Linked DNA regions of Mus musculus. The protein of the gene in region 3 purifies or fractionates together with the protein of the main gene of each other region. This does not show direct contact. Links are inferred from orthologs where the notes say so. Each region holds a gene or a part of one and is shown on either strand. Other genes may lie near its edges.

The links. The genes of interacting proteins can lie anywhere in the genome.
Region 1: the proteins of Csnk1d (region 3) and Cry2 purify together in Homo sapiens (affinity purification with mass spectrometry; 3 studies listed by BioGRID and IntAct, counting the BioPlex papers as one, with this or other methods). This does not show direct contact. The link is inferred for Mus musculus from reciprocal best matches to the Homo sapiens genes CSNK1D and CRY2.
Region 2: the proteins of Csnk1d (region 3) and Cry1 purify together in Homo sapiens (affinity purification with mass spectrometry; 3 studies listed by BioGRID and IntAct, counting the BioPlex papers as one, with this or other methods). This does not show direct contact. The link is inferred for Mus musculus from reciprocal best matches to the Homo sapiens genes CSNK1D and CRY1.

The regions. Positions count from the first base shown.
Region 1 is NC_000068.7:92,410,036-92,413,683, reverse strand, and holds part of Cry2 (cryptochrome-2), read left to right. Parts: coding exon 1-48; intron 49-265; coding exon 266-417; intron 418-532; coding exon 533-735; intron 736-977; coding exon 978-1,070; intron 1,071-1,916; coding exon 1,917-2,056; 3' UTR 2,057-2,058; intron 2,059-2,092; exon of another isoform or gene 2,093-2,104; intron 2,105-3,648. UniProt on the Homo sapiens protein: Transcriptional repressor which forms a core component of the circadian clock.
Region 2 is NC_000076.6:85,147,021-85,150,668, forward strand, and holds part of Cry1 (cryptochrome-1), read right to left. Parts: intron 1,779-3,648; coding exon 1,594-1,778; intron 976-1,593; coding exon 887-975; intron 1-886.
Region 3 is NC_000077.6:120,989,038-120,992,785, forward strand, and holds the start of Csnk1d (casein kinase I isoform delta), read right to left. Parts: upstream 2,297-3,748; 5' UTR 1,974-2,296; coding exon 1,898-1,973; intron 1-1,897. UniProt on the Homo sapiens protein: Essential serine/threonine-protein kinase that regulates diverse cellular growth and survival processes including Wnt signaling, DNA repair and circadian rhythms. It can phosphorylate a large number of proteins.

The DNA of each region.
Region 1 (3,648 bases), on a different chromosome or scaffold from region 3:
TTCCTCACCCGCGGGGACCTCTGGGTCAGCTGGGAGAGCGGGGTCCGGGTGAGTGCAAGCTAGCCTGTACCCTGTGACCAGGCCTAGCCAAGGGCAGCTCCTTATAGACTGGGGCTGGGGTGGGATCCTTGGGTCTAGGAGATCCTTTCTGCATCCCTGGGCCCTCAGCAGAAGGGCTCTGGCTCCCTGAGGGTGTAATAGTGTTACAGAAGTGGAAAGAGCCAGAGCGTCAGGTCTCCAAGGAGGCTGGTTTTTCCTCATCTAGGTATTTGACGAGCTGCTCCTGGATGCCGATTTCAGTGTGAATGCAGGCAGCTGGATGTGGCTGTCCTGCAGTGCTTTCTTCCAACAATTCTTCCACTGCTACTGCCCTGTGGGCTTCGGCCGACGTACAGACCCCAGTGGGGACTACATCCGGTAAGGACACACACCAGACTCTTTGGCTCTGGAGCCTCCCTCCTGGATTGGGGTACCCTAGGCCCTTTAAAGAAGAGTCACAGTGTGCTGATACATTACCTGGGGTGTGTTTCAGGCGGTACCTGCCCAAACTGAAAGGCTTCCCCTCTCGATACATCTATGAGCCCTGGAATGCCCCCGAGTCAGTTCAGAAGGCTGCCAAGTGCATCATTGGCGTGGACTACCCACGGCCCATCGTCAATCATGCAGAGACTAGTCGGCTCAACATTGAACGAATGAAGCAGATCTACCAACAGCTGTCGAGATACCGGGGACTCTGTAAGGATCCCCTACCCCCTCTGGCATCTCACTCACCAAGGGAGGACGAAACCTGAAAGCTTTTTCAGGTGTTGGCTGCCCCCAGGCTGTAAAAGATGCTGCAGGCTGGGCCAGATTGGGCTGCCAAAGCGGCTGTGGGGTATTGGAAAGGGTGGAGGCTGTGTCCTGCTCTTGCCCTCCTTGGCTTCTTTGTTTCTCATGATCTGCAGCCCTCTTAATCTTGTGTGCATTCAATCCCCCAGGTCTATTGGCATCTGTCCCTTCCTGTGTGGAAGACCTCAGTCACCCTGTGGCAGAGCCTGGTTCAAGCCAAGCTGGGAGCATCAGCAACACAGGTGACCAGTCAGTTACACCTGCCTCTGGCCTCCCTGGCCTTCTGTGGCCTGTGTCACCACCACATTAGTCATTTAGGGCTGAGGCCAAAATGAGCATGTAGCTGATGAAGCTTATATCCCACCTGGGACATACTGTAAGACCATCACATGAGAACATTAAGGATTTTGGAGGGAGGTAGCACTGAGTGGCTTGATGTGGGACTAGGAATGGGGCCTCTTTAGGGCCGCGTTAGATAGGAGAAGCCCAAGGGCACCTCTTTAAGCATCATCTTGATAAGAACCAGGAAAGGAAATATCGAGAAAGGCCCCCAAAGCAGGCACAAGCAGAGTCCACTGTAGGAGCAGAAGGATCCAGAGCCAGGGAGGAGGGAAGCAGAGCAGCTTTGGCACAAGTCGCCCTGCCTTCCTGCACTGACGGAGGCCCCACTGAGGTTTTAAAACCCCACTGCCTGCCACATAAACGGAAACAATGGGGAGATGAGGAATAAGGTGCTCAGGAGGCTGGGCAGGAGAAGCCACAGGGAAGAGCAAGGGTGCTGGTCGGGTTCGGGATGCTCCACAACACGAAAATGCCCAGAACCCTGGGATTTCCCGGGACTGCGAAGGGAACCCTCACCTTCAGAGCAAGGACGGCAGGACGGCAGGTAGGCCAACCAGTCTCTGGCCTGGCGCCAGGGATCTGAGCACCAGAAGTTGGCCTTGCTGCCAGCAGGCCAGGCCATGCCCTCCTCATATAGTTCCAAGTGAGGTCACTGCTGCAAAGGAGGCCAGGGCAGGGCTTCCTGTCCCCACAGCAAGAGACTGTTATGGTAAGTAACTATGACCTGTTTCTGTGCCTCTCTACAGGCCCCAGAGCACTATCCAGTGGCCCAGCTTCCCCCAAACGCAAGCTGGAAGCAGCCGAGGAACCTCCTGGTGAAGAACTGACCAAGCGGGCTAGAGTGACGGAGATGCCTACCCAAGAGCCAGCAAGCAAGGACTCCTGAGAGTGAGTTGTGGTTTAAAAAGCTGTTGCTTGCCAGCTGGAGGGCCAAACAGCAAACCAGATTAAAATGCGATCAGGGTAGGACTTCAGCTTGTTTTGCTACAGTTATGAATCATCATGTAAATACCTGGTAGTCAGGAGATCTGATATGCAGCCCCCAAAGGGTCAGGGCCCACAGGTTGAGAACCACTCCTGTAAACCTTTGCAGTGGTAAGGGATGGCTGTCTTTGTTTATTTGTTTGAGACAGAGCCTCACTGGGTAGTTGAGGATAGTTTTGGACTTAGAGCAATCCTCCTGCTGTAGCCATATCCTCCTGAGTGCTGGAAATTCAGATACGAGCCACCATGTCTACTTTACCTTCTAAAATTTAAAAAAAAAAAAATGTAAAGGAAGAGGGTTTATTTTTGAAGAGTGAAACTTAGAAGTTGAAACCCTTTGATTTCTGGCGAGGGTTTAGTTTAGTTTTGTTCTGTTTGTTTACTTGACCTGAGTTCTGTAGGTGGCCAAGCGAGGGTGATACTGAGCTTCAGATGGCAGGAAAGGGCTCAGCCCAGCCCCAGAAGCTGTCTCTGCCTCTGCCTCAGGGTCTCTTCTCACGGGCTCTGGCCGTGCACGTGCCAGTCCATCCTCATCTTTTCTACAAGACTCCTGAATCATTAAAAAAAAGGAAAGAAACAGAGGGAAGGAGAGTCAGTCAGTCTTCCTCCTCTCGGCTCCTCCTTCCCTAAGGCAGGAAAGGCTTTTAGGCCAGTCCTGGAGAAGTGTGGATTGCTGTCCTCTCAGGCTGTGGACAGTCTCTCCTGGCAGGCTCTTCCGACCATCTGCATCAGGAGATCGGAGGGTGCTTTTCACCATGGAGGGTTGGTGCTTTTTCTGGTCCCGATCACTCGGCCTCACTGAGGCTTCCGCAGTGTCTCGATTTATGTCCTCGTGGGGTGGCAGGCACTTGGTGCTTTGTCCTCTAGACATTGCCAGTGGGAGGACAAGGTTGTGCTGCCTTGTCCCTGGAAGAGCCACCACCATAGATGCCATGCTCTCCAGTGCTGAGCACAGAGCGTGATGGCTTCTGAACTTGCTTGGTTAATTCCCTGATTTTGAGGCAAGATTAACAAACAGAAAGATTAGATGTATGAGTCAAGGATGCTCAGTAAGCTGATGGCGTATAGTACAGCATGGGCGTGTTGCCAGCAGATGTATAGGGACAGTGACATATAACGCATGCCACATTAATGTGGGATCCATCCACAGTGACTTAGGAAAGGAAGACTAACAGCCTACAGTTCCTAGAAAGCTGCAGACCTGGCTTATCGGGAGAGCTGTTGATGGGCTGAGCGTGGAGCAACTTTACACCACAGCAAAACCAATTCAGAGTTTATATGATCTTGTACAAATTACATAATCTCTAGGAGGATGGTTTCCTTCCTGAAATCAGGTCATTGTCCCCAAGATTAAGTGCAGATGCAGTCAAGAGACGTGGGGGTGCTGCTGTGGGCTCAGCATCTCTAAGTCCCAGCTCCCAAAGGCTCCGAAACCCAACACCGTGTGAGTGTCAACAGGGAAATCTGTGCAGATCTCCTTAAATTCAGAAAATC
Region 2 (3,648 bases), on a different chromosome or scaffold from region 3:
AGGATTTTGAGGAATTTGTTATTATCCCACTATAGATCTCTGATTTAGTAACTGGAGAAAGGGACTTTAAAAGGTGACTTGTCTTTCCCTGAAGCCATCCATGTACAGCATGCACTCATGTGAAATAAACGGCCATCAGGTCCCCAGCCTCAGGAGTGAAGCACCTTCACCCTGTCTCTTTGAACACTGGGTCAAAGGAATACAATGGTGTGCCTTGCCTTTCCTAAGGTTTCAGATGCTCATGGTCGAGTAATGATAGTTGGAAAACATTAAAGGAAAATTCTACAAATAACTTGTAGGTTTTAAATAATTTATTATAGTAGATCACAATTATACTATCTTACCATTAGTGAGTATATGAATCTCCTGATGCATCTAAGTTACAAACTAAGCTTTATTAAGAGACGGGAGAGGGCAAGGATGAGGGTCATCTGCAATGGGAGAAGTATCTGAGGGAGTGGCGGAACAGGATCAATACATGGGAGTCTTGCTAATTTCTACAATCAATACGTATTACCAGTGATACCAACAAAACAGACAAGTGAAACTGTCTCATGGGACCCACTGGAGTCTCAGACAGAGCAGCATGGCTGCAGGCAGAATCCTGCTCCAGCCCGTTAGCCAGCTGATACGGGTGGGAAGAACAGAAGCAGCAGCCTGGCTCCAGCAACAGGAAGAAGCAGGCAGGAGGAAAGGGCAGTACCTGATGGCTGATGGTGACTTCCAAACGTTAGATTTGTGCTGCTGTAACTATTTCTGTCGGTCTTCCTTTGTCAACAGCATATTCTGTCTAAAGCTTACGGCTAAGCCTCCCTGGATGTGCCTGGTCTCATCTAAACAAGGCTGAGATAATTTCTGAAAGGTTTATTTGGAATCTACATTGTACCTTTCTTTCCAAATGCCTTTCCAAACGTGTAAGTGCCTCAGTTTCTCCTCCTGGCCACACTGCAGAGGACAGGCCATCTGTATCAAAGCCTAAGGAAAAAGAACCAAATAAATGAAGAAAGGAAAACATCATTAATATTGTAATTATTATAAAACAAAAAAATCACTGTTTTCCTGACCACACTTACTTGGGAAACAAATCACTCAGCAAAAATAAAATAAACAAATAAATACAACTCTACAGGCCTACACTGGCTTACAGAGGACTACACAGGACTACACTGGCCTAGGCCCCACCCAATGACAGACTCCTGCCCCAAGGACCACACATGGTTCCCATTTTTAGGATGCACATTGTCACCTGACAGCCAGTCACAGTTTAAGAATGCACATGAGATATTTTTGGTTAATAGGTTTCTCTTTTATTTTCCCCTTTACTCTTCTCTTCTTCCAGTAAAAATACATTAGAAGTGAAATGTCCAAATGATTTATGACTATGAAGTATTTTAAAATATATTTTTAAATTACTTGGGAATTTCACACATCGTATTCTGATCACACTGCCCTTACCTGTCCCCCTAAAGCTTCCTAGATCCCCCAGATCTCCCTACCCATCCTGACTGTGTTCTTTCTGACTTTTCTTAGTCAGCCATCAGGTCCACTTTGTGCTGCCATGCACTCTGGGTGCTTATCAGCGGCTGCACCCACCGAGCTCTTCCAGGGAAGGAACGCCATATTTCTCATCATGGTCATCAGACAGAGGGGTCATGCACTTTCCTATCACATCTGATGTGATGGTGTCTGCTGGCATCTCCAGTGGCTCCATCTTGCTGACGAGAGTCTGAAACCTTTTATATGTTAGAGGTGGCTGTCCGCCATTGAGTTCTATGATCCTGTTACAAGAATGAGTAAGATACAGTTAGTAAATGCTAATATAGCTTGGCTGATAAGCTCAAAAATGCTTATATCAGAAAATTTATCAATTAAGATATTTTGAATGTTAGCTTCTGATAAGACCAGAAAATGTGTTCAAAAATATTTAATGAATGTAAAACCATTCTCTTGAATTCCTAGATGTCTACTAGGTGTCAAATAATACAGTATGCAAACATCAAATCATTGATGGCAAGTATTTAGGATTGTGACTAAAAACTAACAAAGTAGTTCAACTAGCCTATAGATCATGTATAGAAAAATTAATATAAATGGACAAGTGAAAAAAATGAACCAATTTAATAAATCTCAAGAGGCACCAATAAAACTAAAGTAGATTGATAATTCTAACGAGAAATAATCAGCAGAAGTAAAACATGCTATCAGTAGTGGGGCGCACCTTCAATCCCAGCACTCGGAGGCAAAGGCAGGTGGGTCTCTATAAATGCCAGGTCAGCTTGGTCTACAGGGTGAGTTCTAGGACAGCCAGGGCTACACAGAGAAACCCTATCTCCTCTTGCCCTTTCTGCTGTGTCCCAATTTCCTCTATGGACGTGAAGCCTCCACAGCTGTTTTCTGTTGTGTGGGTCCTTGTTACAGACCTCAGCACATGTATCTGTTCCCAGCACCTGCCCCTAGCTGAGCTTTTGTTTTCCGTGGTTTCAGTTACTTGTGTTCAATTGTGCTACAAAAATAGTATGTCTAGACTCACATAACTTATTACAGCATACTGTTCTAAACGTTCAATACCATTGTTAACCTCCTATAACTTATAATTTACAGCCAAGCTTTGCCATGCTGTGCTCTTTAGATAGACAGCACAGTGAACATGGGTTCAACGTGACTAGTGGTTCTTAACAGCCACCAGGGCTTTGGAATGCCCTCATGGATAAGGAGAGAAATATTATGCATACATGCACCCCAAATTCCAAGTCATTTATATTTAAGTATAGTCATTAATATTAAGTGCATTATGTAGTTATTGCTGACCACTGGGTACCTCAATCCTACAATAGTTCTAGGGAAAGATGCCAGCAGCACTTCCAAGGGTTTGCATTAAGTCTAGACATGGTTTCAGAGTAAAAGCTATCCTCCCTGCTGTAAGTACAGTTTGTTTTGGTTTAATATTTTGATATTACATATAGGGCTATAATGAAGTTTGTTGAATTCAATAATGCTACAATGACACTATTAAGTGTCTCTTAATTATCTACCAGCAAACTGAAACTCATAGAAAAGATTTTTACACACGTGTGCGCACAGACGCACAGACACAGACACACAGACACACACACACAGACGTACAGGCACAGACACACACACACACAGACGTACAGGCACAGACACACACACACACACCGAGTCTTTGGTATGTATTCACAATCAACTCAACAAAACCTAATTTTACAATATGGCTGAGTCTCCCATTTAGAAGCAACTTCTCTTACCCTATTCTGTCTGCTCCATATTCACCCATTGACGTTAAGAAAACTGGGACCTGATGGAAGTGTTGGTACCAAAAGGACTAGCACATGTAAGACATCACCAAGGGAAGACGCGTGTCTGGATCAAGTAATGGTTTTATTCATTTACTTGCTAACACAAGTAAAGTCAGTTTGTTGTGTTGTTTATAGAATTAGCTTTGTTAACTTGGTATAATGTGTAAATAACTTAAAAGGTAAAATTACTTAATAGATACACAAATTGTGAATTCTCATGTTTATAAAGACAATTTCATGCCAGAAGTTACTGTGAACTTAGACAGCTCCTGAATCTCCCAAGCATGTGCTCCTGTCTAATGCAAGCCGCAGGCTCTGCCTGTCACAGCGC
Region 3 (3,748 bases):
TGCCCCATGCTCTGGATGGAGGTGGGGAACCAGGTGGGGCAGTAGAGATGTGACTAAGTAAACTGCAACCCCAGACACAGCTTGCACTCTCCTGGAGAAAGGTTCCCATCTCTGAATGACACATGACTACCATAGCACAACTGGTTGTTATAATCAATCTTCAGAAAGCACAAAACCTTTTGGCAAGATCTCAGGGAACAAAAAGTTTCAAAATACCTATTTTCTGATGCCCATGAAAGGGTGGCTAATGGATTGGTTTTCAGTCTAGCTCCTATATCCTGAGGTTAAACTTCTGCCAAAATCTATTGTTCTATAAATACGCCAAACAGCTCCAATTTACCCAGCACTTTGACTCCCAAACATTGCCGAGAAGGCATCTGGCTCTCTACTTGGTTATAAATATTTAAATAAGCAAATCCTAAGTATCTCTAAAGCATATTTTACTCATCAGACCACTCTGGCAAGAAGTTCGGATTCAAAGGCACTCATGTGGCACATAGCAGGCTTACCCTGTATGCTAACCAGGCACCATAAATACTTCTGAACTACCCAAATGGGCCAGCTGTTCACCCCACACCACCAGCTATCAAGGTCCTGTGAGGAGTCAGAGTGCAAGTTCATAAGCTTGGGAAGACTAGAAGGCCGGCCCAAAGCACAGCTTCTTCCTGACTCTCCACTAGAGGTACAACAGCCAAACAAATGCAGGGATGGGCTACTGCTCAACAGAATATGGTTACCTCTAACAGGAAGTTCACCACCAGAAGGCTCCAAGTTCTCAAGGGGCTTTGGAATAACATAATTCTACTAAGAAATGCAGGGGGAAGTTTGTATTTAAAAATCCCCAACTATCAGGTTTAAGCAACCCTAAGCAACCCTCATGTCTACCTTGAGAATTCTGAGAGCCATCATGAGAACTTCCTTCCACACCACTTCTCTCCCCTCTGTTCTGCCTACATCTCGACATTGAATGCATCTGCATTCATCAAAACTTCATTCCTGTTGATTTCCGGGTGTCCAGTAGTCAACTTAGATGCTCAACATATCCTCAAGACCCCAACCAAACCAAGGCCTTTCAGGCCAGGCACAGGGAACATTTTCAGTCCTGATTTGGAGGAGAGTGGCAGCCAGGAGGCTATGGGTGATCCCTTTAGCGGGTCAGCTAAGTGGAGATGCCATTGTGGAAAAGAGCAGGCCCAGACTGCTCCAAGAACCCTCAGAAATCAGCCGGTCGTTTCCCCCATTTCTGACCGGGACACTCCCCACCTCCACACTACATCTGGCTTATTTTGACATTTCTCCCCCACACATGAAAACATCCAGGACGCCACTGCAGAGCTGAGGAACAGCACCAGACCCTTGGCGGAGCAGAGCATGGCCTTTGTTTACTGCGGTGACCTTAGGTGGGGGAGGATGCTGACGCCCGGCCCAGGCCCTGCCCCCTCCGGGCCCCACCCCCAGCCTGCTGCCCTCCCCTGCCCCGCTCTCCCCTCCCCCTCCCCGCTGTCCCCCCCCGGCCCCCGCCCCCAGTCCTTTTCCCACGCCCTCTGACACCCCACCACCGAGGCCCGCTGGCCCCCGCCTCTAGGCCTCCTTCTTCCTCTCCCGGGTCCCCGACCATCCCCAGACACGCTCCGAGCTCTGCCCCCCGGCCTGCAGTCCCCAAGACCGGCCTGTCCTTCCAGCCCTTCCCCGCACCCCACCCCGACCCGCCGCGCCGCGCCCAGCCCCCCGGCCGCGCTCGCACAGCGGCCGTTGGTGTCTGGCCGAGGCCGGTGCCCGGGCCCTCGGCTGCGGGGATGCCGAACGTCCACTCCGGCCCTCCGCAGGCCTCGGCCTGCCGGGGACCCCGCCCGCCGATCCGCAAGGCCCCCGGGCGCTCGATGGCGCCGGGCCTCACCGAGATAGATGTCTCCGAAGGAGCCGCTGCCGATCTTGCGGCCCAGTCGGTACCTGTTCCCGACCCTCAGCTCCATGGCAGCGGTGCGGCTCGCTACTGCCCGCCCGGCCGCTTCCTGGGTCTGCGCTCCGGGAGGCGGCGCCGCTGCTGCCGCTACTGCGGGTCCGGTCCGACTCCGCCCCCCTCACGGCCCCGCTTTCACCATCGCTTTCCGGTCGCCCCGTCGCTCTCAGCGCCTCAATACGGGGCGGATGGGACAGTCCGAGCGCCGCCGCCGCTGCTCCGGCCCTTGCCGGCCCCGCTCGCCCTCTCCCCGCCGCGGATGGACTCGGATCTTCCGGGCCTAAATCCCCCTTCAGCTGCCTAAAGGAGCCGCCGCCATCGCGCTGTGACGTCACTTCCCCTAGCAACCCAAGGGGGCGGGGCCACCGTGCTCGGGGGCGGGGCTTGGCTACTTGATGGATTGCGCAGTCGCAACCAGGCCTGTTTCTCTGTCCCAGTGTCCACCGTTCCCGCAGGATGACTCCAGCTGGTCTCTTTGGTCTTCCCATTTGTCTCCAATAGAAGTCCGAGGAAGCTAAGCCATGTGTGGTAAGAAATGCCTGTAGTTCCAGCCCTTGGGAGTTCGAGACCAGCCTGGGCTATAGCGACCCTGCCCCTAAACAGGCAGAGAGAAGCCGAATAGCAGTTCCTTTTGTAGACCCCGGGAAAGGCCCTTTACAGATAGGGGAAAAGGGCAGAGAGGGCGGTCCAGGCCTAGCTCTGAGATCACAGGTAGACAGTTAGCTTTTGTAGGAATCACCAGTTGTGGGCTTTGAATGGTGCAAAACGTGCCTGCTGCTGCCTGCCAGCTTCTTGCACACAAGGGTGGAAGAAAAGAGGTCTTCCTGGGACCCACTGTGGGCAGGAAGGTCAGTGTTGAGTTCACTGAGGGTGTAGAGGGTATGTCTCAGACTCTGATCGCTCTCCAGGGCTGTCTGCCTGGAGAGAGAGTCAACATTTTTATCTGGTCTGCATTGGATCTGCATGTTCCCCTGGCAAACACAAACATGAATTCTGAAGTTCAGGCTGACGGCCAGCTTCCAAGACTTGGCTGTCCATTCTGACCACTGAGGAGGGACTCTGGAGGAGCTACCACACAGGAGGTGCCCCCTAACCAGGAGGGGACAACCTTCCAAATAGATGCTTTTCTAGGCCCACTCTCACCCAGCCAGAAACACGAGAGTCACAGATGAGTGTAATGCTTCTATTTGGTCAGCTAGCACCCGTAGCATCTGCACAGGGTATCACGCTGCATGACAACTCAGCAGCCCTGCAGAAGCACGTGGAGCTGACATGTCTTCTAGTCTCCCAGCTCCACCACCCTTCCTTTTGGTGGTCCTGCAGTGCCTGCCTGCACACAGTTGGCAGTCAGGTTGGGGAGCATTACACAGCCGGAGACAGAAGACACCACAAGGCAAACTGAAACCAGTGGTCACTGAGCGGCAGGTATGGGAACTGCCTAGCTTTTTAGTCCAGGAGTCAGAGCCAGATGCGGCCAAACTAGTAAAAATAATCTTACTGACAGAATTCAAGTATAATTTTTTTTCTGTTGATGAACAATACCTAACTTCATCTGAGAAGCCCCTATATTGAACTGAAAACAGCAAACCTGGTATCTGGCCTAACCTCTCTCTTACCAACCTCGGGCCTGATCTTTGCCTAGCGGTCTTCCCTCTGGGAGCACCTGCTCTGTCTGGAATAGAGAGCCGAGGGTGTGAGCTGCTGCGTGCCTAGGGCTCTGCACACCCTTCTTATTACTTGTATACAGGACAGTCAGCTGATAAAGTGACCAAAGTTCTTGCTGCGTTT